Linked DNA regions of Canis lupus familiaris. The protein of the gene in region 1 binds, or shares a complex with, the protein of each later gene. Links are inferred from orthologs where the notes say so. Each region holds a gene or a part of one and is shown on either strand. Other genes may lie near its edges. The genes, in order: LAMTOR1, LAMTOR4 and LAMTOR3.

What was found.
Region 2: LAMTOR1 (region 1) and LAMTOR4 share a complex: the UniProt entries of both Homo sapiens proteins name them as parts of the ragulator complex. The link is inferred for Canis lupus familiaris from reciprocal best matches to the Homo sapiens genes LAMTOR1 and LAMTOR4.
Region 3: LAMTOR1 (region 1) and LAMTOR3 share a complex: the UniProt entries of both Homo sapiens proteins name them as parts of the ragulator complex. The link is inferred for Canis lupus familiaris from reciprocal best matches to the Homo sapiens genes LAMTOR1 and LAMTOR3.

The regions. Positions count from the first base shown.
Region 1 is NC_049242.1:26,094,438-26,104,661, reverse strand, and holds the start of LAMTOR1 (ragulator complex protein LAMTOR1), read right to left. Parts: upstream 5,642-10,224; 5' UTR 5,494-5,641; coding exon 5,452-5,493; exon of another isoform or gene 5,377-5,451; intron 1,783-5,376; coding exon 1,637-1,782; intron 1,388-1,636; coding exon 1,310-1,387; intron 960-1,309; coding exon 833-959; intron 492-832; coding exon 399-491; 3' UTR 1-398. Other genes in the region: transmembrane O-methyltransferase, read left to right, coding at 5,842-5,879, 8,049-8,323, 9,596-9,792. UniProt on the Homo sapiens protein: Key component of the Ragulator complex, a multiprotein complex involved in amino acid sensing and activation of mTORC1, a signaling complex promoting cell growth in response to growth factors, energy levels, and amino acids.
Region 2 is NC_049227.1:9,317,027-9,327,051, reverse strand, and holds LAMTOR4 (ragulator complex protein LAMTOR4), read left to right. Parts: upstream 1-4,866; 5' UTR 4,867-4,871; coding exon 4,872-4,916; intron 4,917-5,381; coding exon 5,382-5,462; intron 5,463-7,197; coding exon 7,198-7,315; intron 7,316-7,662; coding exon 7,663-7,787; 3' UTR 7,788-8,039; downstream 8,040-10,025. Other genes in the region: NXPE family member 3-like, read right to left, coding at 4,308-4,430; TRAPPC14 (microtubule-associated protein 11), read right to left, coding at 8,927-9,080, 9,203-9,396, 9,632-9,786. UniProt on the Homo sapiens protein: As part of the Ragulator complex it is involved in amino acid sensing and activation of mTORC1, a signaling complex promoting cell growth in response to growth factors, energy levels, and amino acids.
Region 3 is NC_049253.1:18,044,016-18,054,010, reverse strand, and holds the start of LAMTOR3 (ragulator complex protein LAMTOR3), read right to left. Parts: upstream 4,704-9,995; 5' UTR 4,543-4,703; exon of another isoform or gene 4,240-4,542; 5' UTR 4,203-4,239; coding exon 4,194-4,202; intron 1,633-4,193; coding exon 1,598-1,632; intron 1-1,597. UniProt on the Homo sapiens protein: As part of the Ragulator complex it is involved in amino acid sensing and activation of mTORC1, a signaling complex promoting cell growth in response to growth factors, energy levels, and amino acids.

The DNA.
Region 1 (10,224 bases):
TAGTGAGGTGCATGTGAGCACCAGGTCAGGGAGAGGGAGAAGGAGTGAGGCCAAGAGAAAGGGTGGGAAGGGGGCCCCTATAGGCCCCCTAGGGATCACCCTCACACTGGTATCTTCACCTTCCCAGTGACAGTGAAGACCTACCAGGCCCTAATCTTTTGACCCCCATCCCATCCCTGGCCAGGGCTTTGAACACCAGTCCCAAATGGTTCTGCCCTCCCTTGCTCTGTCCTCATTTGCTCAGGCTTCCAGCCTCACTCTTCTCCTCCTCCACACTCTTCTCTGTGATTAGTAGCAGGTTAGGGTACTGTGTGAGCCGCAGTGAGGCTGGGGGCCCAGGGGAGGCAGGGTGGAGACGGGGTGAAGAGAGGAGAAGAGCTGTCCAAGGATCCCTCTCTTCATGGGATCCCAAACTGTACAACCAGCTCCTCTTTTGCGTCCACTCGGATCTGAGAAAGTGCACTGTAGGCATAAGCAGCTATCCTGGAGACCTGAGAGGGACCAGGGACGAGAGCAACAGAGAGACACAGTGAGAAGAGAGATCCGGAAAGCCGGGGAAGGGGGATCGGGTAGCAAGAGAGGAGGGGGTGGTGGGGGACAGGAAGCCAAAGAAAAAGGTAATGACGGGAAAGACAGAAAAGTACAAAGCAGAGAAAGAGAATAAAGGTAGAGAGGGGAAGATACAAAGTAAGGTGAGAGTGAGTGGGGCATTCGAGCTACCAGGCTCCCTAACTCCACTTCCCTACCGCCTCTGAGACAGAGAGGGTGAGCCCTCTGCCACAGCCCAGCTATAAGGGAAGGGTAGGCGCGGGTGGGCTCAGGGGTGGCTCACCTGCTGCAAATCGGAGAAGGGGATGGGCTCGCTGGCCAGCACTTGGTGGGGCTGGCTGGTGAGAGATGGCAGCGGTGGCAGCTTCTTCCAGTGGGTCAGGCTGCTGCTCAGCACAGCCAAGCGGGTGCTGGCCAAGAGGGAGGACGGCGGGGAGCGGTCAGGCCAGTCTGCTCTGCCCAGCCCAGCCCAGCCCAGGCAAGCTTCAGTCCCTTGGGCCAGAGGAGCAGGGTGACAGGCACCTCTGCTCACCACAAACTCACTTCAGGCCCACCTCCCTTGGCCTCCGCACCCTTGAGGGCCATGGGGCAAACAGGGCTGACACGAACATCTGCTGAGGTAGCGGAGAGATCTGTCGTCCATCTCCTGGGCTTCACCCAAACCAGAAGCCTGGCCTGGGGCCCAGGCTCCAAAGCTGGATAAGGGGCAGGGAGGAGCCCAAGGAGCCTGAAGGGGGGACCCAAGCTGGCCAGGTCTCACCTGTACTGCCTTGCCCGATCCATGTACTCATGCTGCTCCATGCCCTGGGAGTCCGCAGCAGACACGTCAATGATGTTGCTTTGGGGAGAGGAGGCAGAGGGAACATGACAGGTGCTTCAAGAGGGACACACGGGATTCACTGCCAAGTGCCAACTCCAGGGCTATCTGACACCACTGGCCCTGCCCGCCCAGTGGAGTAGGACTGGGCCCAGAAGCACCTCTTGCCACTGACTTTGTCCCATCCCCCATGTCCTGGGCCCTGTCCCTCTGTCCATCCTTTAACATGGATAGAGAAGCTCTGCCCAGGCTTGGTCCTGTGGTGCTCACCTGGCTGTTTTAGCAAGGATGGAGGAGAGCAGGGCCTGCTCATCTGTGCGGGTGGGAGGCAGGCTGTGGTAGTTGGGCTCAGCTCCATTGAGGGCTTTGGTAGGGGGGCTGCTAGGGTCCAGCAGCAGCTTCCGTTCCTCTCGGTCCTAGGTGAGGTGATAGGAGAGAAGTCAGCCCTGGACCCTTTAGTCCAACCTGCCTTTCCTGGGCTCTTCTCTCAGCCCAGCTCTGACCCTGAAGCACCAAAAAATACCCTAAGTGCCCAAGTATATGGCATGTCAGCTAAGACTCAGTCCTGCCTGCCCTCAGGAGCTCAGCTGAGTTGGTGGTCTAGAATGAATCAAAGTGGAACCAAGCAGTCCTAGAGGCCCTGAAAAGATGGACACAGGCACAAAGCATATATTCAGTAACAGGTCTAGAGCTTCAGAAAACAGTCCAGCACCTGACAGACAAAGGATACTGGAAGCTGGAAGCCAGAGGAATGAGGTCTAGAAACTGCTGCAGGTCAGGAGCCTAAGAATGGCACTCCTGATCCCCAGGCCAGGCCCTCCCCAGCTAGCTGGCTGCTCCCACGACAGACGCCCTGAGAACCCAGACAGTTCTATTCCTCGTATAATGTCAGGGCAGGAGTCCCAGTCTCTGGGTCACACAGTCCCAAGTGTGCCCCCTTCTTGAGGGCAGGTCCCTTCTACTCACAGGTATTCACTCTCTTCTGATGTCCTCTTTGTATATGACTCCCAGGACTATACTTGGTGCCCCTGGTGAAGCCTGGCCTGACACTGGAGCTGTTCCCTCCCTTGCCAATCCACCACACCTCTGTTAGTGTGGTTTTGCTGATTTTCCGTAGTCCGTGTTACTGCTAGCCTATGCTGATAATCAAACCCCCAGAATTAACCTGGGGCCAAACCAGGTCTCCCTGGTCCTTCACAATTCTGTGTATATTTCCCCTCGTTCTTTCAGTCCCTCGTTCTCATCTACCACAATGTCTCCGGGTACCACCCTGCTTTGAGCCCATTAGCAGCAAATCCCTGCTGGCTTTGTGTCAGCTTCAAATTGGATAAGCAGACTTGCTGGTTATCTATCCAAGCCATAAAGGGCAAGGGTGCCCAGGACAAAGCCAAGGACAAGGGGCCTATCCTGCCTAATGCTGACTCACCGACCCTTAGTGCCAGACCACCAGTGCTCCACTCCAGGCCGCTCTCAGTTCCTACCACAGCCCTTCCCGTGGAAGGCTCCTGACTCCACAACCCTCCTTACACAGGGCCACTTCCTCCCGCCCCACCCTAGGCAGGCCCAGCGTTTTCACAACACTCTTCCTCAAGCCCAGGGTGCCCAAGTGTCCCCAGTTCCCCACAACAGGAGACAAAAGCTGTAGGACTCTGCCCTATCCCCTTAAAAACACGGCCCCTCCCCCTTAAAAACACAGGCTAAGTATTAAAGAGCTAGAAAGACAAAAGGCTTGCCACAGACCGAGCTATCTCACAGAAAAGCTAGCTCCATCACGAACCCTGAGTTTGCTTCCTGGGTGTCATCCTTCCCCCAGCCCTACTCGAGACAGATCTGCCTGCAAGACGGAGCATAAGCTTCCCATCGGGTTGCTCAAGAACAAAGTTGTTTTCTGGAGACCTAGACTCCCAGAGGAGGCTGGGCTACTCCCATCAGAGTGGACAAATAACGTCATCCCACCCTCAACAGGCAACTGCAGCAGGGAAGAGGTTTTCCATACCAAGGGCTGTCCCTGAGTCAGTGTCAACCCAGGAGTCAGGGCTTCACTGTCTGCCCTAGACACATAGATGTGGCTTGCCCATGACTAGCCACCTGGTCTACGGGCACAGGTTTGAAAGAGACAGCTTGGTCCAATGTATAAAGCACATGGCTTGGTATCAAGACACCGTGACTATGGCACTATTCGGCTCTCTGTCCTTGGCTAAATCACTTAGTCTCTCTAAACTTTTTCCTTGCCTTTAAATACAGGACCTGTACCTATACGACAAACGTTTGGCAAAAATCAAATGAAAGAACTATAAAAGGCCTTTGAAAAATGTGTAATAGGTTTCTTTTTATTATAATAAAGGAGTAGAGATGAAAGTGGGAGAGGGACTCTGAGATAGTGAATGGTATGGTATAGACCTTTGCCACACGAAGCCTCAAATCACCCAGCACTGATCAAGCACCTCTCTGGGGGGTTAGAAACAGAAGTGAGAGCCTGTCAAGAAGAAGATGAAATTCAGGAAAGCAGCAAGCCTAGTTCTCCCAACTAGAAGCCAATATTCTTTATTAGAAGACACTAATTCTTCTTGACTCTTTCCTTGCAAGAGTCTGTATTATCCTGCGGGGATGATTTCCCACTACCCTTGTTTTCCCAGTAGACGGGAATACTGTCTCCTCTAAGAGACTGAGGTGAACTGAGGAGTAGTAGGCATTAAGTATGCCTAACATGGGATCCCTGGGTGGTGCAGCGGTTTAGCGCCCGCCTTTGGCCCGGGGCCCGATCCTGGAGACCCGGGATCGAATCCCACATCGGGCTCCCGGTGCATGGAGCCTGCTTCTCCCTCTGCCTGTGTCTGCCTCTCTCTCTCTCTGTGATGACTATCATAAATAAATAAATAAATTTTAAAAAAAAAGTATGCCTAACATAAGGCATAGGAAATAAGATGTGTTCATTGAGTGTTTGGAAAATTAATGAGGCCCAGGAGCTACCCATGCCTCTCAAACAAATGACATTTCCTAGCCTTAAGTCCTTAATCCAAAATAGGTTCATGTGAGTGACTGAGGAAAGACCTACTTCGCAAATACTAGTAATATAGTCCATTTCTGTGACCATCTTCCCCACCAGACTCTGAGCTACTTGCAGAAATCTTTCTATCGTCTCTGCGTCTAGAATGTGTTGAAATGCAGAATCCAGGCTTAGAGGCAATCAAAAAGGTGATGGCAAAGAGCTTGAGACTTCATTCTTGGGAAGGTCTCCCCACTCCTAAAAAGAGATAGGCAGGCAGGGCAGGGTTTAAGGTGTGAGAAGTGAGAATGCACCAAGTGGAAGAGGGAGAATGAAAAACTGCACAAGTTTTCCAGCTTAATCTCTTGTGCAAAGGCATCAGATCTACAAATTCCCAGGACAACTACTCGTCTAGCTGAAGGAACCCTCAGGCCCCAGGCAAAAACTGCACGAGGCAGGCAAAACTGTGCTCCCCATCCCATCTCTCTCATTTAATCCAGCCAGAGCAGAAACCCACTTTGTAACTTCCCAACTTCCCACATATCTCGATGTCATTGTCTCTATTAAATTCTTCACTGGTCAATTCAAATGCCACCTACTTCCAGACGCCTTCTCTGACCCCAAATCGGCAGTGACCTTCCTTCTCCAACCCCAGGGGCTGAGAGCAGACACAGATTCCTGATTCATGCAGGACAAACTAATTCTGAGCCTCAGTTTACCCATCCCTAGAATGGATTCACAAAGCCCGCTCCTACAAGCACAGAAAAAGCACAGAAAACTGATGAGACCATGTTTCCCAGAGACCTAGGCTGAGGATCCTGAAGGCTATAAAGGTTTAAGGGTAGGATAAGATGAAAGGGGTGGGAGCGAGCGGGACAAGCACCTGCCTGCACACCCCAGTGCGGAGACTGTAGAGAAAGCTGGGGCTTTAACAGGGGTAGGAGCCCGGCCGGGCGTCCCCTCTGTAATCTGTCCCCTCCCGGCCGCCGTACTATATGAGCCCCGCAGTCCTGCTCCCGCTCTTCTGCAGGTTTTCTTCTGAGCCCGACGCCCCAGTCTCGCAACCCTCATTCCCGAGCCTCGCCCGCCGCGGCCGCACCTGGTCCGAGTCCTCGTTCTCGCTGCTGTAGCAGCACCCCATGGCCGGGGTCGGGCCGGGCGCTCAGGCCGAGCCGAGGAGGGACGGCGTCCGTCGGGAGCCCTTCCGGTCACATGACCCGTGGCTACAGCCAGCAGGCAGCCACCCTCCTCCTCGCCTATCCCTTCCCAGAGCCGCGCCGCGGCCGCCGCCACCCCGGCTTCCGGCCCCGCCTCCACCGCGTGATCATCGCCAACCAATGGGAAGGCTCGCTTCGCTTGACAAGACTCGAGGCACATGATGCGAGAAAGGGAGGGGCGGATCACATGACTTCAGCCTCTGCCCAGTTTCAGAGATCGAGGCTTCGTCCACCGGCTCTGGGGGCTCTTCTCTGCGGCCGGCCCTCGTGCTATGTGGTTGCGTGGCTGCCAAGCTACCTCTCTGGGCCAGTGAGTGAACTTTTACCAAAAGCTATTATGATTTGGTCTCCTAAATGCCATGCGAGGGGCGATTGGAATTGACGCCCTACGCTTCTAGAGCACACAAGTCTCTGTGTACATTGGATCCAGATGCCTAGCGTCCAGTTGGGGGACACATAGAGTGTGGCACCCAATGGAGTTCTCACCCTGGACTAAGGATCGACAACTTACTGGAAGAAGAGCCCTTACTCCTACACAAACCAAGGCAGAGCAGAGCTCAAACCTGGAAGAGGTAGAGGCCACCTCACGGTCTTTGCCCTTAGGCACGTCTCTTCAATCTTGCTTGGTTTTCTTAAGCAACCATAGTAATCTAACACACAATGCTCTTTTCTTAGAACCATCCTATATTTTCCCTTGGACGCTGAACACAGGTCCACGTCTGTCATTCAAGATCTTGCAGAGTCTCTTACCTGCCTCCCATGCCAGCATCTGAGTCACGGGGGCTGGTGGTGGTGCAGGAATCGGAGTAATGCCTCGCCAGCCAGCCGTAAGAAAGAAAATATTTGCAGTTTCCTGACAGACCCTCTGGACTTTCCACACGTGGCCTTGTACACTGTCTCCCTACTAGGTGTCTCTTCTGTCTTCAAGCCTCACTACAAACAGTAACCTCCTGATTGCCATCTCCAATCCCATTATTTGGGCATCCTCAGCTCCCTGTGCTTAATCCCTATCCCATACGGATTTCTTCATTTATTGAATCAAGTAATTATCTGTAATGTGCCACACAATGTTCTGTCTAGATATACAGAGGTTCACAAAAAAGCCTAAAGTGTATCAATGGAGTACTGGATTATGTTTTATTCTCCTTTTCTGGATCAGTCTCTTCCTCCAAACTTGGGAGTTCCTGGAGGAAAGGAACAAGATCTGAACCCTCTCTGCTACCCACACCCTGGCATTTGCTTAGACAAAATGTCAATTGAATTTTGAATTGAGTAAATTACAGACTCCCATTACCTTGGGTCACACCATGTCCCCTGTCCTGGGAGGGGACATACAAGGAGTTAGAGGAGAGGTCACTGAACCCAGTAGCTCTTAATACCCCTCAGATCAAAACCCTGAAATTCTGTAAATTCTTACATGGCTTGAGAAGGGTAAGAGTCAAACCCACCTTGTTCCTGCAGTAACTTGAACTGCAGGTCTCAGGTGACAGCAGCAGCTTCTGCATCAATAATTGAGAGCAGGTCCAGCCTGCCTCAGGGTTCTCTAGCCCCAAGGACTCCCCCTCCTGTCCTATGCTCTGATCTTCCCCCAGCCGGAGCCTCCAGCCCAGGTAAGCAGGGCTCTTGAGTGTGGGTTCCCAAGCATACCAGTTCAAACTCACTATCACTCACCTACTCACATCCACTTTTACACTCTTGCTTTCAATTTTAGTCCCCACCATCACCAGAGGCCTCACAAGGGGCAGATGTGGAGGAAAGGGAGGATCATCCAGGGTATGCAAGAGGAAAGAGCACTTATCCCCCATCGGGGCCCTGGAAGAAGAGGCTCGAGCTTGGGGGGACAGTGGGTGCTGTATGTGTACACGCTTGTAAAAAGAATTCTGAAAGAGAACAGAAAAGGCAAATGCAGGGGAGGAGGCATGAAAGGACTGGAGAAGAGACAGAGACTCAGGGACTCCTCCCAACCTCAGGAAAGAACAGATGGAGGGGTGGGAAGGAATTGCATCCTAACACCCTATGGAGTGTTTTGATTGCCTTTTACTGAGGCAGCACACAAGGCCCGAAGGGGTTTCTGACTACAAAGTTGTGCTCTTTTGCTCCACATTAATGGGTCAGAGGAGACAAGGCAGAGGGGAGGCTGGGTGGGGGATATCTCAGGGGACTATGGAAAGTGGTCCAGAAGAGGTGACTAAAGAGATGAGGGGAAACGGATGGAAGAAGCACGGTGAAGATAGGACCAAGGGGCAGAAGTGGGAAGAGGTGGTTTGGGGATGGATGCAGAACACAGACTAGCATGAAGTCCTTGAAAGTAAGTACATGGTTTTGGCATTGAACCAATTCAGATTCAAATCCCCATTTTGCTGTGTGACTATGGGCAAAAGACAGCCTTTCTGAGCTATGGTTTGTAAAACATAGGGACAATTAATACAAATGACAAATGGTGGATGTGGGTTTCCCTCCCTGCCTCTTCTCACCTCAGAGCCCTGGTGGGGACCATGTCCCCCGCCATCGCACTGGCCTTCCTGCCACTGGTGGTGACATTGCTGGTGCGGTACCGGCACTACTTCCGACTGCTGGTGCGCATGGTCTTGCTGCGGAGCCTCCGAGACTGCCTGTCAGGGCTACGGGCTGAGGAGCGGGCCTTCAGCTATGTGCTCACCCACGCCCTGCCTGGGGACCCCAGTCATATCCTCACCACCCTGGACCACTGGAGCAGCCACTGCGAGTACCTGGGCCACATGGGGCCTGTCAAAGGTCAGTGTTCCTTACCCTTCTGCTCCAGGCAGCACCCCTAAGATGGTAAGGAAGGTCTGGGACCTACCACTGCCTACTGGGTGCATTGGGCAGGTTCCTGATCCTCTGAGTCTCTCTTTTCTCCTCCACAAATGAGGGGGCTGGGCAAAGCTATTCATTCATCTAACAGTTATTGCCACCACTTTTGTACTAGGCCTGTACTAAGTGCTGGGTTGGAAAAGGAGGCAGAGGCCACACAGATGAATCAACCACAAATGTTGGCCTCAAAGGGGACAGTACAAAGGGGACAACCATCTCAGCATATAACTCATAACTTTGTAATTATCTGTGCTAAGTATTTCTCCCCCAATCACGGAGGCTCCTACATCCCATTCAGAGTAATGCCTGGCTTTGTTGGAGTCCCAGGTCCTGGCACAAGTGATTTTACTTTATTTCAATTTTTATTCTATTATTTTATTTTTAGATTTTATTTGAGAGTGTGCACAAGTCAGGGAGAGGGGCAGAAGCAGAGAGGGAAGCAGACTCCTTGCTGAGCGGGGAGTCCAACTTGGGGCTCGATCCTAGGACCCCAAGATCATGACCTGAGCTAAAGGCAGACACTAAACCGACTGAGCTGCCTGGGCACCCAGCACAAGTGCTTTTAGAGTCTGAAGAAATTTTTCCAATTCCAAGGTTAGAAAGATATTCAATGAACAAAATAAGAGGAAATGAAACTGGATGTTCTAGCAACAGTCTCTCAGAAGCCTGTGGCTCTTTCTGTTTGAGCCCTCCTGGAGGAAGCAGACCCTAGAATTGCTTTCAGCTTGGCCAAGTAGATAAGGACAGGGGAGGGGAAGGGCAGAGCCAGCCACATACACTGGTGCAGCATGAAAAAATGAGCCAGCGCTGCCTTGGTTGACTTTGGGCACACTGTTTGGGAGGGCTGTGGTAGAGGCTACAGATGGAAGAATGGAAAAGTTGGATAGGATCAGGTCCAGGAAGGTCCTGAATGTCAGGCTAAGGATCTCAAGTTAAATCTCAAAGGCCTTGAGGATCACAGGAACTAAGGAGCAACAGGGTCAGATTTGTTTGTTGGAAAGATGCCTAATGGCTGGTATGAAGTGAAACTGAAAGAGGGGAAGGGAGAACCAGTGGGGCAGCTAGAGCTGTAGTCCGAGAGGAGACCCCAGCTGGTTGGGGCTGCAGTGAGGCAAGTGGGCATTCGAGATCCTTTTCTATCAGGGACCCCAAATCCATCTCCCATGTCTGCTGTAACAGCCATCTTCCCCTCAGGTCAGATCCTGACGCGACTGGTGGAGGAGAAGACCCCTGCGTGCGTGCTGGAGCTGGGCACCCACTTCGGGTATTCCACACTGCTTCTTGCCCGTGCTCTGCCCCCTGGGGGCCGCCTTCTCACCGTGGAATGGGACCCACGCATGGCAGCAGTGGCTGAAAAACTCATCCGCCTGGCTGGCTTTGACGAGCGCATGGTCAGCACCCACCTCCTTTCCACCCCCAGCCTTGCCCTAGCCAAGCCTCCCCAGTAAAGGAATCCCACCCAGGGGAAAGCAGCAGCTCCATTCCACATAGGGGACTGGGACCTTGGATGATGTGTGAACTCCTGTCCCCCTGTTCCAAGTCATTTGTCATATTTGCTGCTGGATGACAAAGGAGCAGTTAAGAGGAAGGTCTCTGGAGCCTAGCAAACCTGGGTCTGAACCCTTAGTCTAGTCTACCTCTTGTGACCTTTATGACCTAATTTCCTGAATCTCAGCTTCATCACTGCCAGAATGGAAATCACAATACTGATCCTGACCTCTTGGGTCTGTTCTGAAAACAGAGGAAATCTGAGAACACTCATGGGGACTTAGGCCAGGACCTGGCATAAAGTAAGCCAGATCCTGGGGGAGGTGGTCTGGTTT
Region 2 (10,025 bases), on another chromosome or scaffold:
ACTCAATGCCATTGATTTCTCCACTCCCATTCTCTCTTAATCTTGTTATAATCAGACTTGGCTGAAACTGTCCTTCTTGAAATTATCAATGATCTTTGTAGCACATAAGCCAAGAATCAATCATCTACTGATGGTTCTCAGCACCTATTAGCAGTGTCTACACCAGCTGGTCACTCTCTCCTTCCTGATACATACTCTTCACTTGTTTTCCAGGACATTTCACTTTCCTGGTTTCCTCTGATCTCACCAATTGTTCCTTCTTAGACACCTTTGCTGATTTCTCCTCTTCTCACAACCTCTTGGCGCTGACATGGCCCAGGGATCATTCTCTTTTCTCTGTACACTCACTCCCTTGTTGAGCTCATCCAGTTTCATGGCTTCAAGGGCATCTATCTATCAGCACCTTCCAAATTTATATTTCTAGCACAGAATTCCTTCCTGAATTCCAGACTCATATCTGTCTGTTCAAAATCTCCACTTTGATACATAGCAGATAGATATGGGCAAAAATGAATTCTAATTCCACCACCACTGACTGTCCTCTAAATAAGCTACTCTATCCTTAGCTTTTCCCATCTAAGTTGATGATAATACCATCCCTCCAGTGGCTTGGGCCAAAACCAAAAATCATTCTTATTGCTTTGTTTTTTTCCCCATATCCTACATTCAATGCATCCGGAAATGCTATTGGTGTTACTGTCAAAATATTTATAATCTGACTACATCTCAATACCTCCATTACTACCATCCTGCTCTATGTCACTATAATCTCTTACCTAATTGGTCTTCTTGCATCCACTCTTCTCTTCCTATAATCTCTTCTCAACATAGTAGCCAGAATGATCCTTTTAATAGTGAGATCATACCATTCCTCTGTTTAAACTCCTTGGTGACTCTCTATTTCACTCAGCATGAGCATGCATTCTCAACAGGAATAATATCATTTCCAGGGGGATGGAAAGTTGTTTCTTAGGGGTCAGGGTTAAAAAAAATCTTGGATATTACAATGGTTTGTGGCTGTTTGGAGGGCCACAGTACATAGACAAATGTAAGTTATATCTATGGTATTAACATTTTATGAGATAGTAGTAGTTAGGAAAATAAAATCTAAAAAGTCTCCTAAGGGGCAAAAACAAAACCAAACCAAACAAACAAACAAACAAACAAAAAACAACCAAAAAAAGTTGACAACTAAGAGGAAAAATCAAATTCCTACACAGCTGTACATGATCTGGCCCCCATTATCACCTTGCGCTTCTCTCCTAATACTCTCTCCTTGATCAGTTTCAACCATATTGGCTTCTTTGCTGATTCTCATATATATCAGTCATGCACATTCATACACATACACACACACACACACACACACACACACTGAACCTTCACGAAAGTTACCTCCATGGATATTCACTCTCAGGTTTCTCCAGGTTGACTCCCTCACCTCCTTCCAGTCTTTGCTTGAGTCTTCTCAACATCTCAGAGAGACCTACCATTGACTATGACCACCCTATTTAACTCTGCAGCATGTTCTCTCTTACCTTCACTCTGGCCCCCATTTACTCTGATGATTTTTTTCCCATACCACTCATCATCTTCTAACACACTATTTAAATTTCTTATTCTATGTATTGCTTTTTTTCTGTCTCCATCCACTAGAGTATAAGCTCCATGAGGGTAGAGATCTTTGTTCTACCCACAACCTCTAGAACAGTGTCTGGTATAGCATAGTAGCTTTCAATAATGAATGAATTAATCCTTTCCAGCCCTAGAGGAAAAACTTAAATCCTAGACATAAATATAAATTCTGTTGAGTATGAATCTATAACTGGAAAAAAAGTATAAGGCCAGGGCTGAGGATGTGACTCATGACCACATTATTAATTCTGTCTGGGACCCCCTCCTTAAGGTCATAAAAATAACCAGAAATTGAGGTATGTTAAAGCTGTATCTGGAGCCTAGCCCAGATGGAGAGGGACTTTTTGCTTGGGCTTCACATTCACAAAAGCCTCAAATGTAGGTTTTGAACATTCCTTCCAAAGGGAGTTGGTTATATATTCAGCCAGAGACATGCCCACAAGAAAAGAAAGAGACTTACAGATTACAACTTAACTGGTGTCTCATTACAGCATTCTGCCTCACAGATTAGCTTTGTAAACCTGATAATTATTGCAGGACTGTCAAAACCATAAAGCTTTGTAATATCTCTGTGTTAAAAGCATCCATTTGTTAAATGTAACCATTTCAATCATGCCACAATTTTGGAACCCTGATTTTGCTTCTCTTTGGTTTTTCACATATCACTAAATCTGAGAAATGGAGTGGCCTGAGCTTTGAGAGAGCCTGCATGTGTTAGAAGGGCTTTGTTGCCTCTTGGCCACAGAAAACCAAGGAAGTGGACTCTCCAACATTATATGGGCTCCCAGCAATCACAGACTGCCAGGCCCGAGACACTCAAATGCCTCCTCCCCTTCTGGCTCACAAATGCTTCCCCTAAGATATGCACTTACAAAGCGCATTCCTTCCCCTTTGCTCAGTTATCCCATAATACTCCGGCGTGGAGGCAGGAGAAAGCAAGTGGGAAAGGATTACCCACAACTCAGGCCCAGGTATGAATGCTGCCACAGAGACTGTCACAGCAAAGGGGCACCCACCCTATTTGGGTTTTGTGTCAACTTGGCTAGGCTATAGGATCCAGTGGTTTGGTCAAACATCAGTCTAAATTACATATACCCATCAAAAGACTTCCCAACCTTCACTCTGCCTTTCCTGGCTCTTAAGCCTGACATTTGATTCAACCAGCACTTTTTGAAGACTGTGGGGTAGTAGTCATATTCTTTGGGAATAAAGTGTTGAAAACATCACAGCCCTGACCCCGTGTTGCTCAGCTTCTAAGTAAGCTAGGCTGGCAACGAGTAGTAGTAAAGTATAGTCAGTGCTACACTAGAGATATGAGCTCCTTAACCCCATTGGAACAAAGTGTGTATGTTGGGAGGGATCAGGTTGGGGAAAAATAAGGGAGTGTGTAGTTTCCCAAAGTCCCAACCTCCAAATATCATCAAAATAGGGATCAGAGTCAATATATGAATTTAGGGGTGGGGGCACACAAGTATTCAGACTACAGCAATTATCAACACTTTGAAACCCTTTGTATCTCTTTCTATCCCATCCCTGACCCAATTTCAGAAGTGGCCATTACTCTAATTTTTAAAAATCATTCCCTTGATCTTTATCGTTTTGAAACAGATAGATAGATAATATCTGACTCCAATTCCAAGAAGAGTGTCTGGTACACAGAAGGTACTCAACAAATACTGGTTGAATGAAAGAAGGAGAAACTGTGCTCTCTACAAGAGTAGTACGATTTGTAAAAACAAAACAATTCTGATGATGGCTAATGAGCATTGTCCTGCAAAGGGCTCCTCTGTATCAAGTAAAATTAAAAAAAAAGGGAATTTTTGAGATAATATTAAGTAGTAACTTAAATAGTAATAATAAATGTAGTTGGCCGATGGAGCAATGGGAAAAAGCATCAAACTCAGTGTCAGCAAACTTAAACTGGAATTTGGCTCTTGCACTTGCTAGCTAGTGTGCCTGTGAGCAGGGCTTAGCCTCTCTTAACCAGAGACCTGCTTCCCGTTTCTATGGATTTGACTGGGTTGGACATTTCACAGAAATAGAATCATACTCTGTGTGGCCTTGTGTATCTGACTGCTTTCAGTTAGTAATGTTTTCGAGGTTTATCCACCTTGTAGGACTTATCAATACTTCATTCCTCTTTTTACAGCTGGATGAAAGGCCATTGTATGGCTATATTAGGCTTTATTTCTCTGTTGTTGAGTTTATGGATATTTGGGTGGTTTCCATCTCCCGGCTCTTAGGACTAATGCTGCTATGAACATAAAAAACGTGCAAGCGTTTTTTGCATAGACATGTTTCCAATTCTCTCAGGAGTCCATCTAGGAGTGGAGCTAACTCTGGACTGAACTTTTCCAGGAACCGCTGATGGGTTTTCCACAGCAGCGGCACCATTTCACAGCCCCATTAGCGAGGCAGGCGGGCGCCAATTTCTCTACACCTTCGCCAAACGAGGTGTTTACTATTTCGAGAACCAGCCTTCGTTCTACCTCACCAACACTTTCTGTCACTTTGGTAGCGCGGGCCTAGAAACTACTTAAAACAAGTTTCCGAGATGACACTCGGGTATTTAAAAAAATGACTTCAGAGTCCTGTTTCTAATTTTTCCTGGCAGAGAATATTTAGCTCCGCGGCTGCCTAGCCTGAGGGGAGGAGGCGGGGAACTCACTCACCGTCACACCGCTCCTTACAGAATCTCGGGAGGGAAAGCAGCTTTGGGAACAAATCCCTGTCCTAAAGAGATAGTTGCCTAGAATAGGGATATGAGTAGCATTTGAATAGCTCTTCTCGCGCATTTCACGTCATTTCACTTTATTTTCTCGCTCGTGGTCACACTGAGGAGCAGCGCGGCCAAAGGAGAAACGCTCGCCCCTCTGCGCGCAGGCGCACACCCTCAGTCCCCCCCCCTCCCTCCGGCCCCCCCCTCCCTCCGGCCCCGCCCCTCCAGGCCCTTCCCTCCGCCGACACGCCCCCTCCCCGAGCTCGGGGCTTAGGGGCTGGGAGATGGCTGTGAAGGAGGGCCTGAGACCAATCCGCTTGCGTCTACGGGAAGCGGCGCTTCGCATTGGCAGATTAAGGCTGATGATGTAGCCATGTTCCAATCCGCACTTTGGGGGGCGGGGCTTAACTTCCGGAGCGCCAGGGTAGAGGGAACCGCCTTGTGGAAGCACGTGACCTGGGTCTGGAGCCGGAAGCTACCTATCTGACAGGGAGCGCCCCCAGCACCTAAGGCTGCGATGGTGAGTGAGGACGCATGCGCGGGAGTACGCGCTAGGGGTTCTGTATGTCTGTTCCCCAATCTCTTTGGTTACCCCTACTTGGGCCTACACTCCGCCCTTACCTCCTGTCCACCCGAGAGGCAGAGAGAATCGAGATGGGAGGGGAGGCGACGTAGAGGGCTGAGGAGGGACCTGTGCGAGGGTGTATGGGCGCTGGGGAGTAGTCTGCGGGGGTGGGACGGGCCACCAGGGGAATTGGAGATGGGGCAGGGTGGGGGAAGGGAACAGCGGATCTACAGAGGCCAAGAGAGCCCAGGGTCAGAGGGTGAGGAAGATGGGAAGCCTAAGATCAGTGTTGAAGGCTTTGTAGAGGCTAGAGGGTCTGGAAGGGCCCTGGTTGGGGAAAGAGAAGGTTCGGGCGGGGCGGGGGCGGGGGGTAGGGAAGTTGTCAAAAAGCCTTGGGTTTGGAAGTGAAGGGCATCTAGGGCCATCCTGGTATGCTTCTCTAATTGCATCTTTACCCTCTAGACTTCTGCACTGACCCAGGGGCTGGAGCGAATCCCAGACCAGCTTGGCTACCTGGTGCTGAGTGAAGGCGCAGTGCTGGCGGTGCGTTCTGGGCAAGGGAGGGGGTCCCCCATGGACACAAGGCCCCGTGATCCCTTTTACCATAGCCCAGTTTAGCCTAAGTTGTCTCTAGTCTCAGTCTTAGCTATCATGCTGGGCGTGTAGTAAGCTTTCAGTAACCAATCAAATAAATCTCTGGAATCGTAGTCTGGTACTTCAGAGTGAAAGAGGTTTACTGACTTTACCAAAGTCAGACAAATAGTCTTTTGTTGATAACTGATATATATTATCCAAGTTTTCTCGAATTGTCTTTAGTTAGTATTTATGTAAGAGGTTTTGTATTTTGTTCCATGGTGCAATATAGTGTTAAGCTCTCTGGAAGTTTCAATGGAGCTGGAGAGCATGGCTTAAGGTTACAAGTTGAAAGTAATGCAAGTGGTAAAGACTAGTGAAGGAGACCAGAAAAATGAAAGATTCAACCCATGTGTTATACATTATGACAAGGAGACTTTCTTAGAGGAGGTAAGAATTCAGCTGGGCTTAAAGGATACATAGTGAACAGAAAAAGAGAGTACTCAGGGTTGGAGTGGTGGCTTTGTGTTGAAGAGATTTGGAATAAAAGATTCCATTGTGGAGGACTTTCAAGACTGGGTTGGTGTCAAGACTGGGTTAATCGTGAGGGGAATAGGAGCTTTGAAGGGGTTCGAATAGAAATGTAGGTTAAGGAAATAGTTGAGCAAGATTCTTCTATTAGGTGTGAAGATAAGCTGGGAGGGGTGGGATTCAGAAGTAGGGGGCCTGCTGTGAAAATCTAGGTCTGAGACATGTCTGGCAGCAGTGAGAAGGAGCAAGGAGAGAAGGAATTTTAAAGGAAGAATCAATATATATTGGTAATGACTAGAGATAGGTAACAGAAGAGATACTTCTTCATGTAGTAAGACTGAGCCCAAGCCTAGACTGATGGTATCTTAACAAAGAGGAAATTAAGAAAGGAAGTTGATTTTGGAGGGGGTGAGATAAAGGGGAATTTTGATGACTTGACTTTAGATATTTTGATATAGAATGAGAGCAGTTAGAGTACATTGCTAGGAACTAAGCATCTCGCCAATATCTCAATGTAATCTTCAATAAGCCCATGGATAGGAACTTGTCCCAATTTACAGATGAGAAAACTGAAGTGTGGAATGTCTAAGAGAACAAAGGGCACTTCCTTAGTTGGGAGGTCCATGTTGAAGAGGTTGGGAGAGGAAATTGAGACAGTTACCAGAAAAGAGGAAGCCTAGGTCACAGTCATATCATTACCCAAGGGCTAGGTAGTAGGGAGGGGCTCAAGGACAAAAAGTATGTTCAGTTATGTTTCAGATTCTGCAGATAGGGCAACAAATAGAAAGACTGAGGAAAAGAGGGAGACTTGAACTAGTCAGTGGTGGATGAGCACAGATGTTTGAGAATGGTTTTATTAAGAAGTGGGGACAAGGGAAGAAATCAAGTTTCAGGGATTAGGAAAGAATGGTCAGTAAAGAAATGAATGAGAGTCACTGCTCACAGGGGGAAGCCCCATATTGTAAGGATGAGAAACAAGATGGCCTCAATAGGAGCAACAATATCATAGGAAAGTTTTGGGTTTGTTTTTCCAAAAATGGGGGGTGACCTTAGGGGTACTAGGAAGTTGAGAGGGAGAGGTTACAAACACTAGAGCCAAAGTGACTGTTCTTGGAATTCTTTCCCAGTTCTGTTCCCTAATTTCTGCCATCCCTCCTCCTCCCTCTGCATGCAGTCATCTGGGGATCTAGAGAATGACGAGCAGGCAGCCAGTGCCATCTCTGAGCTGGTCAGCACAGCCTGTGGTTTCCGGCTGCACCACAGCACGAATATACCCTTCAAGCGCCTGTCCGGTGAGCCTCAGCCCCTGCCCCTGGTGGTGGTGGTGGGAGGGGGTGGGGGTTGATCCCAGAGGCTTCTCTTCTCAGGGGGAAAAAAACACCTGTCTCCTGCCAACCTCCCACCATCTCCCCCTGGGGTCCCTGGTTCTGGCTACTTTCTTCCCTTTGGGTGGGATTCATCCCTGCATCATAACTGTGAGAAACCAAGAGAAGGAAGGAGACATAATGGAGCCCTCCTATCTTCAAATCTTTGAGCCTTCAACTATCAAAAATGCCTTTGGCTTTTGATCCCACCAGTTGATGTGACCCAGTAGAGGCCGTTGTACCCCACTAACTCTGTGCTCCCTTCCCTCTCCTGGGTGGGGGAAGGTGTGTCTCCTCTCCAGTGGTCTTTGGAGAACACACGCTGCTGGTGACCGTGTCAGGACAGAGGGTATTTGTGGTGAAGAGGCAGAACCGAGGCCGGGAGCCTGTTGACGTCTGAGCCTGCCAGAGGGCAAGGGGCAGAGGTGGATTGGGTCCATGAGCCTCCTCGATGAGGAAGACGCAAACCTTCTCCACCTTTTTCTTGGCTTGCTGCTAGAACTAAGGCTTTCTGCTCACCCACTTCCCCTCCCCTCCCCTCGAAGGGCAGAGGCTTGGGGACTTTGCACTGTGTCGGGGAGAGTGAGGGCAAGGGGATCTCCCTCTTCTTTCCATCCCTCCCTCCCTCCTAATAAAACATGAGTCTGATGTTCCCAGGCCTAGGAATGTGTGTATGAGGGGCGTTACACCCCAAGTCTGTCTTCCATCTTCTAGGGAGACAGTCATGTATGTTGGACCAGAGGGGTAGTGTATATAAAACTGGCAATCAGAGGATAATATGGTAGGAAGGGGGTTGAGGGGAGCTATTTGGTGTGCATGCTGAAGGGAACCACTCTGAGCCTCTGGGGTCTCTGCTCCTGCTGCCAACACACAAATGAAAATCATTCTTCCCCCTCCTGAACAGGCATTTAATAGTCTTATTTCAGTTGGAAGCAGTAATTGGAGAATAAGTTACAGGAACAGATAGATTAAAAAAAACAAACAGAAAAAAAAAAGAAAACCCCACACAACTTAAAGTGCTTCAGGCTGCAAACGTAAACATAAGGGGCAGGAGGAGGCCACCTGGCTATCTCCCCTTTCCCCTGAGACAGGAGGGTCATTGTCCGGGTCCCTTTACCATCACCACCCTCTAATCTCAGCCCTGCAGGTGGGTGGGAGGGAGGGAATGTCAGAGGCAGGAGAGACAACTTAATAGGAACAAGGAATACACTTTGTAAACTTAGAACCAGGGTACAGGGTGGGGGGGGGAATGGAAGGGGGGCAAGGGAGCTCTTGAAGTCCCTACCCTGGCCTCGGGGTGGGGCCTTCCCCCCCCCCCCAAGGGAGATGAAGAAATACTGTTGGCTTAGTGCTGTAGCCGTACCCGCCCATTTTACAGCTTCTCCCCTCGTCCCTCATCAGCAGACACAGACAGGTGGCCTTCTTGGGCCTCCTCATCCACGGTGGAAGGCATCCCAGGGGAGGCAGAGTCTGGAGCCAGGACCCTCTCCAGGGCCTTTTGGTTTCTGGGAGGTAAGAGGGAGGAGAGCCTGCATGGTGCTACTTGACAGGCTCCACCACCAGGACCTTGCACTCACGCTTGGCAATCTTGTCCAGAGAAAGCACAGCCTTGTCCGGGGGCAGGTAGAGGGGGCGGCCCACAGGCGAGGCCACAGGAGGCGTGATGGCCCTGCGCTCCATCACGCTGCCTGACCTGGGAGAAGGCAGAGGCTGTGGGCTCCGGATCACACCCCAGGACCCTGATCTGCTCCTGCCCCAACCCTGGCCTCTACCCGGTACAGTGGCACCAATGGCACACCTCCCCTGCTTCTGTACCTCATGAGGTGGCTGCGGGACGGCTGTTGGTGAGAGAAGGATTGAGAACGGCCCAGGCTAGCCTGGTGTCTCTCCACCAGGTCCCGGACAGCAGGGCTGCTAGGGCTGCTCTTTCGAGAGAGGGGCCGGGCCTCAGGCGGAGGGTGGGACACACTGGCTGTGAACTGCAGCTTCAGTTTCATGTGCTGGCTCAGCTGGCGAGGGGAGACACAGGTCAGTGTTCCAGCTCAGCCTCCAGGCCCCAGCCTTCCTTTCAAATCAGGTTCCCCATTTGCCCTGCCAATGCTGGATCTAAACTCCACCTTCATTCTGCGTGGCTGTTCAGTGCCACCCATGGTATTTCTTCCACAGAGGCTGGTGGCTCTGACTCCTCCCACCCCGACCTTCCACACAACCCATCACATACAGTCCAGCCCCTCCCCAGCCCACCTCAAAGAGTCCCGTCCTCAGAGCCTGGAAGGCCACACTGAAGGTGAGCGCACTGCCTTTCCGGGAAAAGCCTAGGTTGTTGAGGGGCGTGTGGCAGACAATGGAGTCCAGGGCTGCCTGCATGGCCCGTCGCTCCTCCTCACACAGCTGCTTTCCTGGAGGGGGATGGCGGGGGAGGGGGGAGTTGTAAATGACAGAACCAGCCACCAATAAACACATCTGTACAGAACTTCTCAGTTCACAAAGGGCTTTCATGAGCACTCCTCAGAGCCACTCTGTGGAGTAAACTGAGTATATGTCATCTTTTGCTCAACTTCTTCATAAATTAACACCTAATACTTACTGTGTGCTGAGGTCTATTCTAACCACTTCACTTCTGTTAAACTGTTAAATC
Region 3 (9,995 bases), on another chromosome or scaffold:
GTGAAAGTGCACTTACTGACAGAATTTACGAAAGTGGGCTGTGATGAAAAGGATGAAAATCTCCCAGAGGAAGTGATGCTGGCAAAAAACTCTGAACATCAACAGTACAAAGGACAAAATGGTGGAAGCTGATCCACATTTAGAAAGGAGTATGCCAATTTGCCAAGGCACAGAAAAGATGCCTGCTCCTTATCTTAAGGTTTTACCTTTCATATATTTTACTATATATGCAAAGAAGCAGGCACTGTTCAAACCACACTTGAGAAGTTTTCTACAAAGAAACTAACACTGTAATCCTCAGTATTTCCACTGTTTTTAAATTGTGGTGTATTAAACAAATATTGGTTTTAGCATTTGTTTCTATCCCTTCAAACAGAACCAACAAAAGGTTTTAATGTTTTGACAAAATCTTCTAAAGGTCACAAAACAACTGTCATTTTCCCCAGGGATTACTAAAATTGCTTTGGACGGTTTCGGCTTGTACAGTCATTTTTATGGCCCTGAACTACCAAGCAAAGCCTGTTCATCATGTTAAGAACAGAATCAGTGCTCTAGTTTTGCAAGTACTAGAAGGAAGAGAGTGAAAATGAATTCAAGTACTACATTAACATGAAACCAGAAGTAACAGTTACTTAACAGTTCAATAGTATGTTCTTCCTGAATATAGAAAAATATACATAAATCAAACCCAGGAGACAAGGTCATTAATTTCTACCGGTTGCAGCCAGGGTAAAGGCACAAGTCAATAGGCAAACCACGTCAAACAATTCACGCAAAAATCCAAACAAGAGAATTTTTTTTTTTAACCTACCTACAGAAATAAATTGACATCCAAAATCTTTTAAAATTCACACATTTGGAGAATTCTTAAAAAAGTAAAAAAAAAAAAAAAAAAAAAATCTCACTTTTACACCTCAAAGGTCATTCAGTAATGCTGAAATATAAAAATGGATGTTTCAAGTTGTATTCTCTTTCTCATATTCTTAACTCTCAGGTATTACTTTACACTAAGCTAAATGTGAATTTTAATACAACTAAAGTGACAAAGTTCTTTGAACCACAAAAATATCTAAAAGGAAGTTTGCTGTCGTCCACACAGAACCTAATTGATACTGGTGCATCGAATGGACTGGGTGCAGGCAAAAGAAACCTTTGTGATTTTTCCAAGTATGAATGCTGTCTATATCCAGCATTTTTGGGTTATGCAGACTCAGCAATTAGGTCTTAAAAATGATACTAGAGGAAAGGCATGTTCTTAGGGTTTTTCCCCTTAAAACTGCTCTAACTACTTTAAAGTATAATCCAGTAAACTGCTGACAGTATATTTGAAAGAACTCTCAAGTGACAAGAAATCTAACTTCTAGCCCTCTGGCATTCATGAGCTGTTTAACTTCAGACAAGTCACATAACTTCTCTAAGCCTCATATTATTTATCTGCAAATTCAAAGGATATTTCTTGTGCTAATGTCAAATATGTGAAAATGCTAAACAGCAGCATAATATACATACTAGTCTATAATATACAGAAACGAAATGTTACATAAAATCAATATATATTATGCAGAATTTGTTTAATAACAAATTAGTAATTTTTTACCTTGGTAATTTTTTATACAGGAATCGCTTTAGGTCCTGAAAGAGAATATAAGAAATCACATTATAATAATATGCCTTGTACTGGTTCTCTAGTTACTGTCCCACCCACATTTCAGGTACTTTAAATTGTCACTCACATAATCTTTCTTGTGTTTTCTTTCTGATTTTGATACTAGTTGTGTGACTTGGAACAAGTTATTTATTAGCCTTTTTCTCTAAGCTCCAGTTTCATTATTTGTTGAGAAGGGATAAATCACAGAACCTATGTCATAAGACTGTTGTTAAAATTTATTGAGAAGATGTATGTAAACTAATTAGCCTATCTGGACAAAAATATAGCAAATACATATTAGCTGTAAAATTAGATCATATTTTTCATACTATTTTACATCCTGTTGCCACTGTCTTGTTCACTTGAGAATGTATTATAAACATCTTTCTGTGTCCACAGATAAGCCTTCTAATGTCACTTTAACAATCATGGGTAAACTCACTTCTCTGAAACTCCATTTGTTTTCATGACTACAGTAAATGACAATGTGTGTCAAGTGTTAAGCATGGAAGAGAGCTGGGACTAAAGAAATTAAACACTATTTTATTTCCTCTCCTTACACTTTCTCACCTGGTGAATTTCACTGACAATCTAGGTATCAATTATGAGGTCTACCTAGGTAAATCAGGTATCTGTTGTTTTGAACCTCTAATCCCTACTATTCTCTAAACCTGAATGTTCATTTTATTTTATGTTATCATCACCATCTTAACCTCTGCTCTTATCTTAAACACACACATTAAAATACAACTCATAACATTTCTTGTGAAATATAGATTTCCTCAATCTCTTATTGTTTCCACTAATGGCACTACCAATCCCATTATTCAGGTCTGAAACACAGAGTAACATTTAACCCTAATAACATCAATAACATCACCTTTATCACTTCTAAATGATTTGTGACGTCAAATGTTTTTAAAATGATCTCTTCCTCTCCTTTTCAACTGACATTATAATTCAGGTTCACTTTTTTATTTATGACTTGTGCTAGTCCAACTGGTATGCTGGTCTCCCATTTCTATCCCATACAATTCTACAATGCTAGTAGCCATATTATTGTACTTTTTCACCTGGGTTAGAGGTGCCAGATGATTCTGTGTGCAGCCAAGGCTGAGAACCAACATCTGAGTGGCTCTCCACTGTTTAAAAAATTCTCTACAAATTCTTTTAATATTTGAGCCTCTCTACAATACGGTCAACACCTAATTTTACAGTCTTGCTTCCTACCACACCCTCATAACCTCAGCCCCAGCAAAAGTGGACAACTCACAGCTCCTCCACACACATCTCTTTCCCTTTCCTATCTCTCAAACTTTGCTTATACTATTCATTTTAATAATAATTCTTTATTAAAGAATTTTAAGAAAAAATGCTACTTATTTAGAGCTCATCTCAACCACCAAATACTCCAAATAAGCTTTCCTGATAAATACAAACCAGATGTAATCCCTCTCTTCTTCGAATTTTCACACAATAATGTATATACATTTATGATCACCTGCTTACTATACCTTAAAAAGAAATTTAAAAACCCTTAAAGAGAGGAATTATACCTTAATTGTTGTTATTTCACCCACAGCCCTTATTGCAACAACCTTTGCAAGGTGATGCTCAATAGATATATAGTGATTTGACGATGCCTGGAGAATAAGGTCTCAAGAACATAATGACAAACACCCCCAAAAATGAAGTGTCTGTATGTAAAGGCATACAAAGTTCCTAAATATTCAAACACATAATCTTGCAACCAAAAAGAAAAAAAAATCACATTCATATTAATGTTTAATGACCATTTAACCTAGCGGTTAAGAGCATAAACTCTGGAGTCAGACTGTCTGGCTTGGTACCTGGACTCTACAACTTACCAGCCGTGTAACCTGAGGCAAGTTACTTCACCTTTCTATGCCTTGGCATCCTCATCTAGAACACAAGGGTAGTAACAGTGCCTACTTCCTGAAAGTTGTAAGAATTACATACGTTCAGTGTTTCGAAGAATGCCCAGCATGTACAGAAGTAAAATAATAACAGGATGTAAAATATAAAGATTCGTAGTGTTAATTCCCTGTTGTTCCTAGTAACTAGTACAATCAAGTTTCCTAAACTTCGAATTTGGGTTTTGTTGCTGTGCTAATGAGGTTATCAGTCAGAAATCATCTCAAATTGCCTCCAGTGAATCTAGAGACACGTCATGACCACTTTACTGGGAAAAAGTAGATTCACACAGCCGCAAAACGCCATTTAGAAATTCAAATGGTGTTCAGAGCCTCTCTTAACGCCCGCTGGACTGGGGAGTGGCAAGAGTACAATTTTCTCCACCTCAGACACCTTGGCGTCCTCCGCCCTCACCGTGGGCAGAAACTCAGGACCCAGAACATCTCTTCATGTTAGTCACTCACTCCGGAGTCTACAGAAAATACATGGCGGTGGGCGGGTTAAAAGTAAACTCATTTCTGCTCGGGAAGCTCTGCCTCTCCCCGCGCAGTAGGCCTCCAGCAAACTCCCCACCCTCCCCGCTTCCTCTTGTGTGGGTGTGTTAACTCACATCCGCCATGACGAACCCCTTTCTTCCGCAGGATCAATCTCCACTCCTGGAAGAGAAACTCCTGGTGATTCTCCCCTCAAGACCTTCTTCTCACTCTCTTCTCACCTCCAGCCTAATAAGCGGAGTCGGCTCTCATCAAGGCCGGGCAAGGATCCGTGGCTCTAGGACTCGCACCAGGGAAGCCCAAGCGAGGTGGGAGTTCCCAAAGAGCCAGAAGGAAGCTGGGATGCCCTACCTCAGCCCACTCCACCCTCCAGTCGCCGACATGTAGGCCCAAAGGAGAGGGGAAGGCCAGTGCTCTCCCTCTCCGTCTCACCGCTCGCGCCCCCTGCGGGCCCCGGCTGTATACCGAGCGAAGCGGCTCGAGTTACTGGCTTTCTGGGCTGCGGTGCTCTCTCCGCCGTAACTTCAGGGACAGTTTCAAAGACAAGTCTCCCCGGAAAGCCGTCGTCACATGACTTGTGACCTCCTCCGCGCTCCCGGAAGCAGTTCTCTGTCTCCGAGGCCCGAAGACACGGCATTTCCGGGGAGGTGCGAGGGCCTTTGGCGTCGGGCACGCCCCGCCCCTCCCCTCCCGGCCCCGCCCCTCCCCTCCCGGCCCCGCCCCGCCCCGCCCCGCCCCAGCCCTCTGCCCGCTCCCTGCGCCTGCGCAAGGCTTAAGGACGAGGGGCGGCTCGCTGGTGGATGCGGGCTTCGCTGGAAACCGTCGGGCTCTTAAAGAGCCCCGGGAAAAGTATGCGAGACGACGTTGTTGTGTGGGGAGGGTGCGTACATTTCATTAGTTTCTCAAGGTCCGTTATCTTAAGACTTTTTTCATCTTCAGATGAGAGAGTTTGAAGGGGTGTTGCTTACAGGCTGAGCGGCATGCAGGATTCCTGTGCCCTGAAGCCCCTGGTGCCTGGGACGCCCGGCTGGCTGAGTCCATTGAGCATAGGACTTGATCGCGGGGTGCTGAGTTCTAGCCCCACTGGCTGAAGACGGTACTTAAAAATAAAATCTAGAAAGAAAGAAAAGAAAGAAAAAAGGGGAGGGGAGGGGAGGGGAGGGGGGGAAGGTAGGTCCCGGGTTCATAGGTTTCTGACCCCAATGTCCGCCTCTGCCTTGGCTTTTTCAAGAGTGCTCTGCAGGGGCCTGTCTAGATTGAATAGAGGAGCCTTGGGCCTCCTGGAGTTTTCACAGCTGTGCAACTCAACTTGTGCAGATACTGGATAACCTGCCGTCGGCTCATGTTTTAGGAGGCTGTGACTTCTAAGGAGTAACAATATTTTGTTTGGTGCTCGTTTGCACATGTAACAAAAACCTACAATTGGTGGTAAGAAAACGAAGGCTATGGGAACTTGAGGACTCCTCATCTTCAGCTCCCAACCCCTAAAAGTCGGAGGGCGATAGGAATTAACTCTAGCCCAAGACATGGTGGACACTGATTTCCTGGTTATCCTTGAGAAGATGAAATGGTAAACTACACAGCTGTTTAAACTGTTAAAAATGACCAAATTATTACAAGTGAACTTGACAGTTCCATAGCAACTCACATTTTGAAGTTCACGTCCTTTTTCTTATTTGAATTAAACCCTTTGACTTCTTAGCTTCTGGGATGCTGCATTACTTATTTTCGGTCCTCACCCAGTCTAGTTTGCTTCCTGATTCTTTAGATGATGGCATTTAAAGCTTGTCTTTGGTTTCTGTATTTCTCTTTTCCCATTTTCCTGAGAATGAGTCCCAAGTCTACACCTTTCCTCAGAATTCTAGGTTCACATTTTCAGCTGCTTGTGGGTTGTTGGATATTTCTACATACATGTCTTTTAGTCAGCTCTGACTCAAAAGCTCCAAAAATTTCTCATTTAAGCTTTTTTTCCTAATGTGTATCTGTATTGTTTCCATGATTCTACTAGTCAGGTATCATGTTTGGGACTGCTAATCTTTTGTTCCTGATTTTTTCATCTATATTCTTTCAATTCTTCATTCAAACCCTTATTGTATTTAGCAAGATGATATTAATAGCCACTTAGTAATGGCCAGATAAGCCTTCCAAAACAATGCACATTACTGCTGTTCAAAAAATCTTTAGCGATGTATGTACCACTGCAGACTGATAAAGTTGACAGTCTTAGACTGACACAAGCATTCTATTTTACTTCTAAATACATTCTAATGTGAATCCTGTACTCCAGCCAAGTTGATTACTTCACCCTTCCATCACTGGTTATTCTTTCTCCACACTGGTTCTGGAGGGTCTTTTAAACTCAAATGTTTATTTCTCTTGCAGGGGAGGAAGAACATACTTCTACCCTCTTAGGTTTTTATGGCTGGGCCTAAGAATTAAACTGATACATTATCTGGTGAAAAACATACACATTTATTTAATATTCTTATGTGTATATGGCAGTCTTCAGAAGGAAGTAAGGTCCAAAGAAATCATTAGGTCCACAGGTTAAATACCTTTTTATGCAAAGAACAACAAATTGTGGAGATGTGACAAGAAAGGGGGCTTGGGTAAGGGACAGTAAATTGTGGGACAGTGACTCTGAAATATATGCGTGAAACCAATGGCAGATAAAAATTATTTAGTAGACTTGTTTGTACAGGTCCATTTTGGCATCAGTCTTGCCTTTGGTGGTAAGAATGTTCTCTTCCTGGTAAGAGGGCACCTTTCTCAGAGGAAATTTTAAGACCTGCTTTTTGGTAAAAGAGATCAAAGAATCCTTCCTGCATCTGTTTTCTTAGTGCCTTCAGTTCAAAATAATCAATATGCCTAAGTGGCATATTTTGGGGTGGCATGTTCTGCACCCCTTCACTTTCTACCTTAAATATGTATTTATTTTTTGAGAGAAAGAACATACGCATGTGTGCACATGCACAGGGTTGAGGAGGGGCAGAAGGAGAGAGAGACAGAAATAGAGGGAGAGGGAGAAGCAGACCCCCACAGGGAGCCCTATGTGGGACTCAATCCCCCAACCCTGGGATCAGGCCCTGAGCTGAAGGCAGATGCTCAACCACTAATCCACCCAGGTGTCCCAGGAGACAGCATCTTAAGCAGGCTCCATGCCCAGGGCACACAGCCCGATGTAGGGGGTAAATCTCATGACCTTGAAATCATGACCTGGGAGCTGAAATCAAGAGTTGGTCATTTAACTGACTGAGCCACCCAGATAATGTAATATCTACATTAGATATTTATTTATTTATTATTAAAAATATTTTACTTATTTATTCATTAGACACACACACACACACACACAGAGACAGGCAGAGGGAGAAGCAGGCTTCATGCAGGGAGCCTGATGGGGGACCTCCCCCGATCCCAAGTCTCCAGGATCACACCCCGGGCTGAAGTCAGCGCTAAACCGCAGAGCCACCCGAGCTGCCCAACCTTAGATATGTAAATCTTGTTTTCTGACAGTATCTTCTCACATATCACATTCTCTTGAATGCTACTATATGTTACCTAGAATAATTGATATTTGTGCATAATTTATGTGTCATAGTTTTGATTTGTTTTCCCAATGAAACCCTAACACCTAGAAGGCTGGGTCATGTTTTGGATTTTTTCCAGTTTCCTGCAATGACTAAATGTCTTGCATTCTGTAGGCACTCATTCAGCATCTGTGGAATAAAAGTGATTAAAAGAAACTGTTAATTCTGGCCCTGATGACAACTTCTTAGTTGCCCAAGTTTAGAGGCAAATAAAAACATGAACTCTAGCAAGTTCTTTTAATTTCCGGAAGTGCTATTTTTCACTTAACATCCATCCTAATGACTTTGATAAATGATAATTGACCTGGAAAATACTGATTTTTTTTCTTCTTGGGTGGCAAAAAAGGGAGAGCATAGCTTTCTAAACTCTCCAAATATCACTACATCCTCAAATTGAAAGAACTTAGATTTCTAATTTCCAAGTGTGGGGGTTTTTGAATTATGGATCTGTTTTGAATTTACTCACTGCTGCTGGTATAAGACTAGGGAAAATATTTACCAGCCTAAAGGATTATCAGCACTATGTACCAGTTCTCCAAGGGGGTATACCAGCTGATCCCTGAGGTTCAGGAAGAAATTAGTAGAAACTGTATACATACACACACAAAATTTTATCTTACTATTCAAATTTTCTAGTACACAGCATTCTAGAGAAATAGTATACCATAAATATAATACATTAAACAGTTAAATATGTACATGTTGTAAAAGTTCTAACTTTATTGGTTGCATCAAAAGCCTTTGTTTCTGCTTATTTTTAGCTTAAGTTTCTCTTAGCTTTTGTATATGCCTAGGACCTCTCAATTTTTATTTTTTATTTTTATTTTTTTCTTTTTATTTATTTTTTTATAATAAATTTATTTTTTATTGGTGTTCAATTTGCCAACATACAGAATAACACCCAGTGCTCATCCCGTCAAGTGCCCCCCTCAGTGCCCGTCACCCATTCACCCCCACCCCCCGCCCTCCTCCCCTTCCACCACCCCTAGTTCGTTTCCCAGAGTTAGGAGTCTTTACGTTCTGTCTCCCTTTCTGATATTTCCCACACATTTCTTCTCCCTTTCCTTATATTCCCTTTCACTATTATTTATATTCCCCAAATGAATGAGAACATACAATGTCCTTCTCCGACTGACTTACTTCACTCAGCATAATACCCTCCAGTTCCATCCACGTTGAAGCAAATGGTGGGTATTTGTCGTTTCTAATGGCTGAGGAATATTACTCAGCCATTAGAAATTTTTTTTTTTAATTCTTCTTTCCTATAAAAAATTATCAGGATCTCTGGGTAGCTCAGTGGTTTAGCGTCTGCCTTCAGCCCAGGGTGTGATCCTGGAGTCCCAGGATCGAGTTCCGCATCAGGCTCCCTGCATGGAGCCTGCTTCTCCCTCTGCCTCTCTCTCGGGGTCTCTCATGAATAAATAAATAAAATATTTTAAAAATAAACAAACTCATGGGAAGGAGAGTCTTGCTGATTTTCCAACATACAAAAATGAAAATGTTATCACTTAGATTGGCCAAATTGGAAAATGTTTTGCTAATACTGATTCTGGCTATGATTTGGGATTTGGCCCATGGAGAATACAATTATAAAGTCATAGGCAATAACTTGCTCGTTTATACTATCACTTACTGTCCTCACACCCTGGATTCAGGCAGTCACCTGAGAAATCACTAATTCAAACGATCTCTGGCTTGCATACAATAAACAATCACAATCAATGGATCACTCACATGTCAACATCTTAAACTCCCCTACCTTCAGCCTGACAGAACTCCAACTCTGGATGAGTTTGATGAGTTGTATTCCACTGCTCATGCCTTGGCTGATGGGTTAGACTGGAGAAAATAAACAACTAAATAGATTGTAAATTCTGTCACCAATCTGGGACTCATAAAAACCCTTTTGCATTCATCAGCTGACTCAGTGAAAAAACAATTTCTTCAATTTGTCTTCTAAGCCTCTGTTTATTTTTCTTTTCCCCTCCCCGACTTTACCCTGCCAATGCATCATTGCATCAAGCCAATGAAAGGCATGACATCTTACTAACCAACACTACAAATCTACCTGCCTTTGCACCCATCCTCCATGCGTCCCTTTCTTAAAGAATGCTGGTGGTCGCTTAGCTAAAATAATTCTTCCAATGGACATAATATCCTCTTGGACATATCAGGCACTTACTGGTACTACTCTTACTGGTATTACTCTTTCACTTTCTACCTGCCCCTTTATAACAGAATGAAAAATAACAGAATAAAACAGATCTCTCATGCAATAAGATCTCATGTAATTAATAACTGAAAAAATAAAAGCCTTCTTTAGAAACC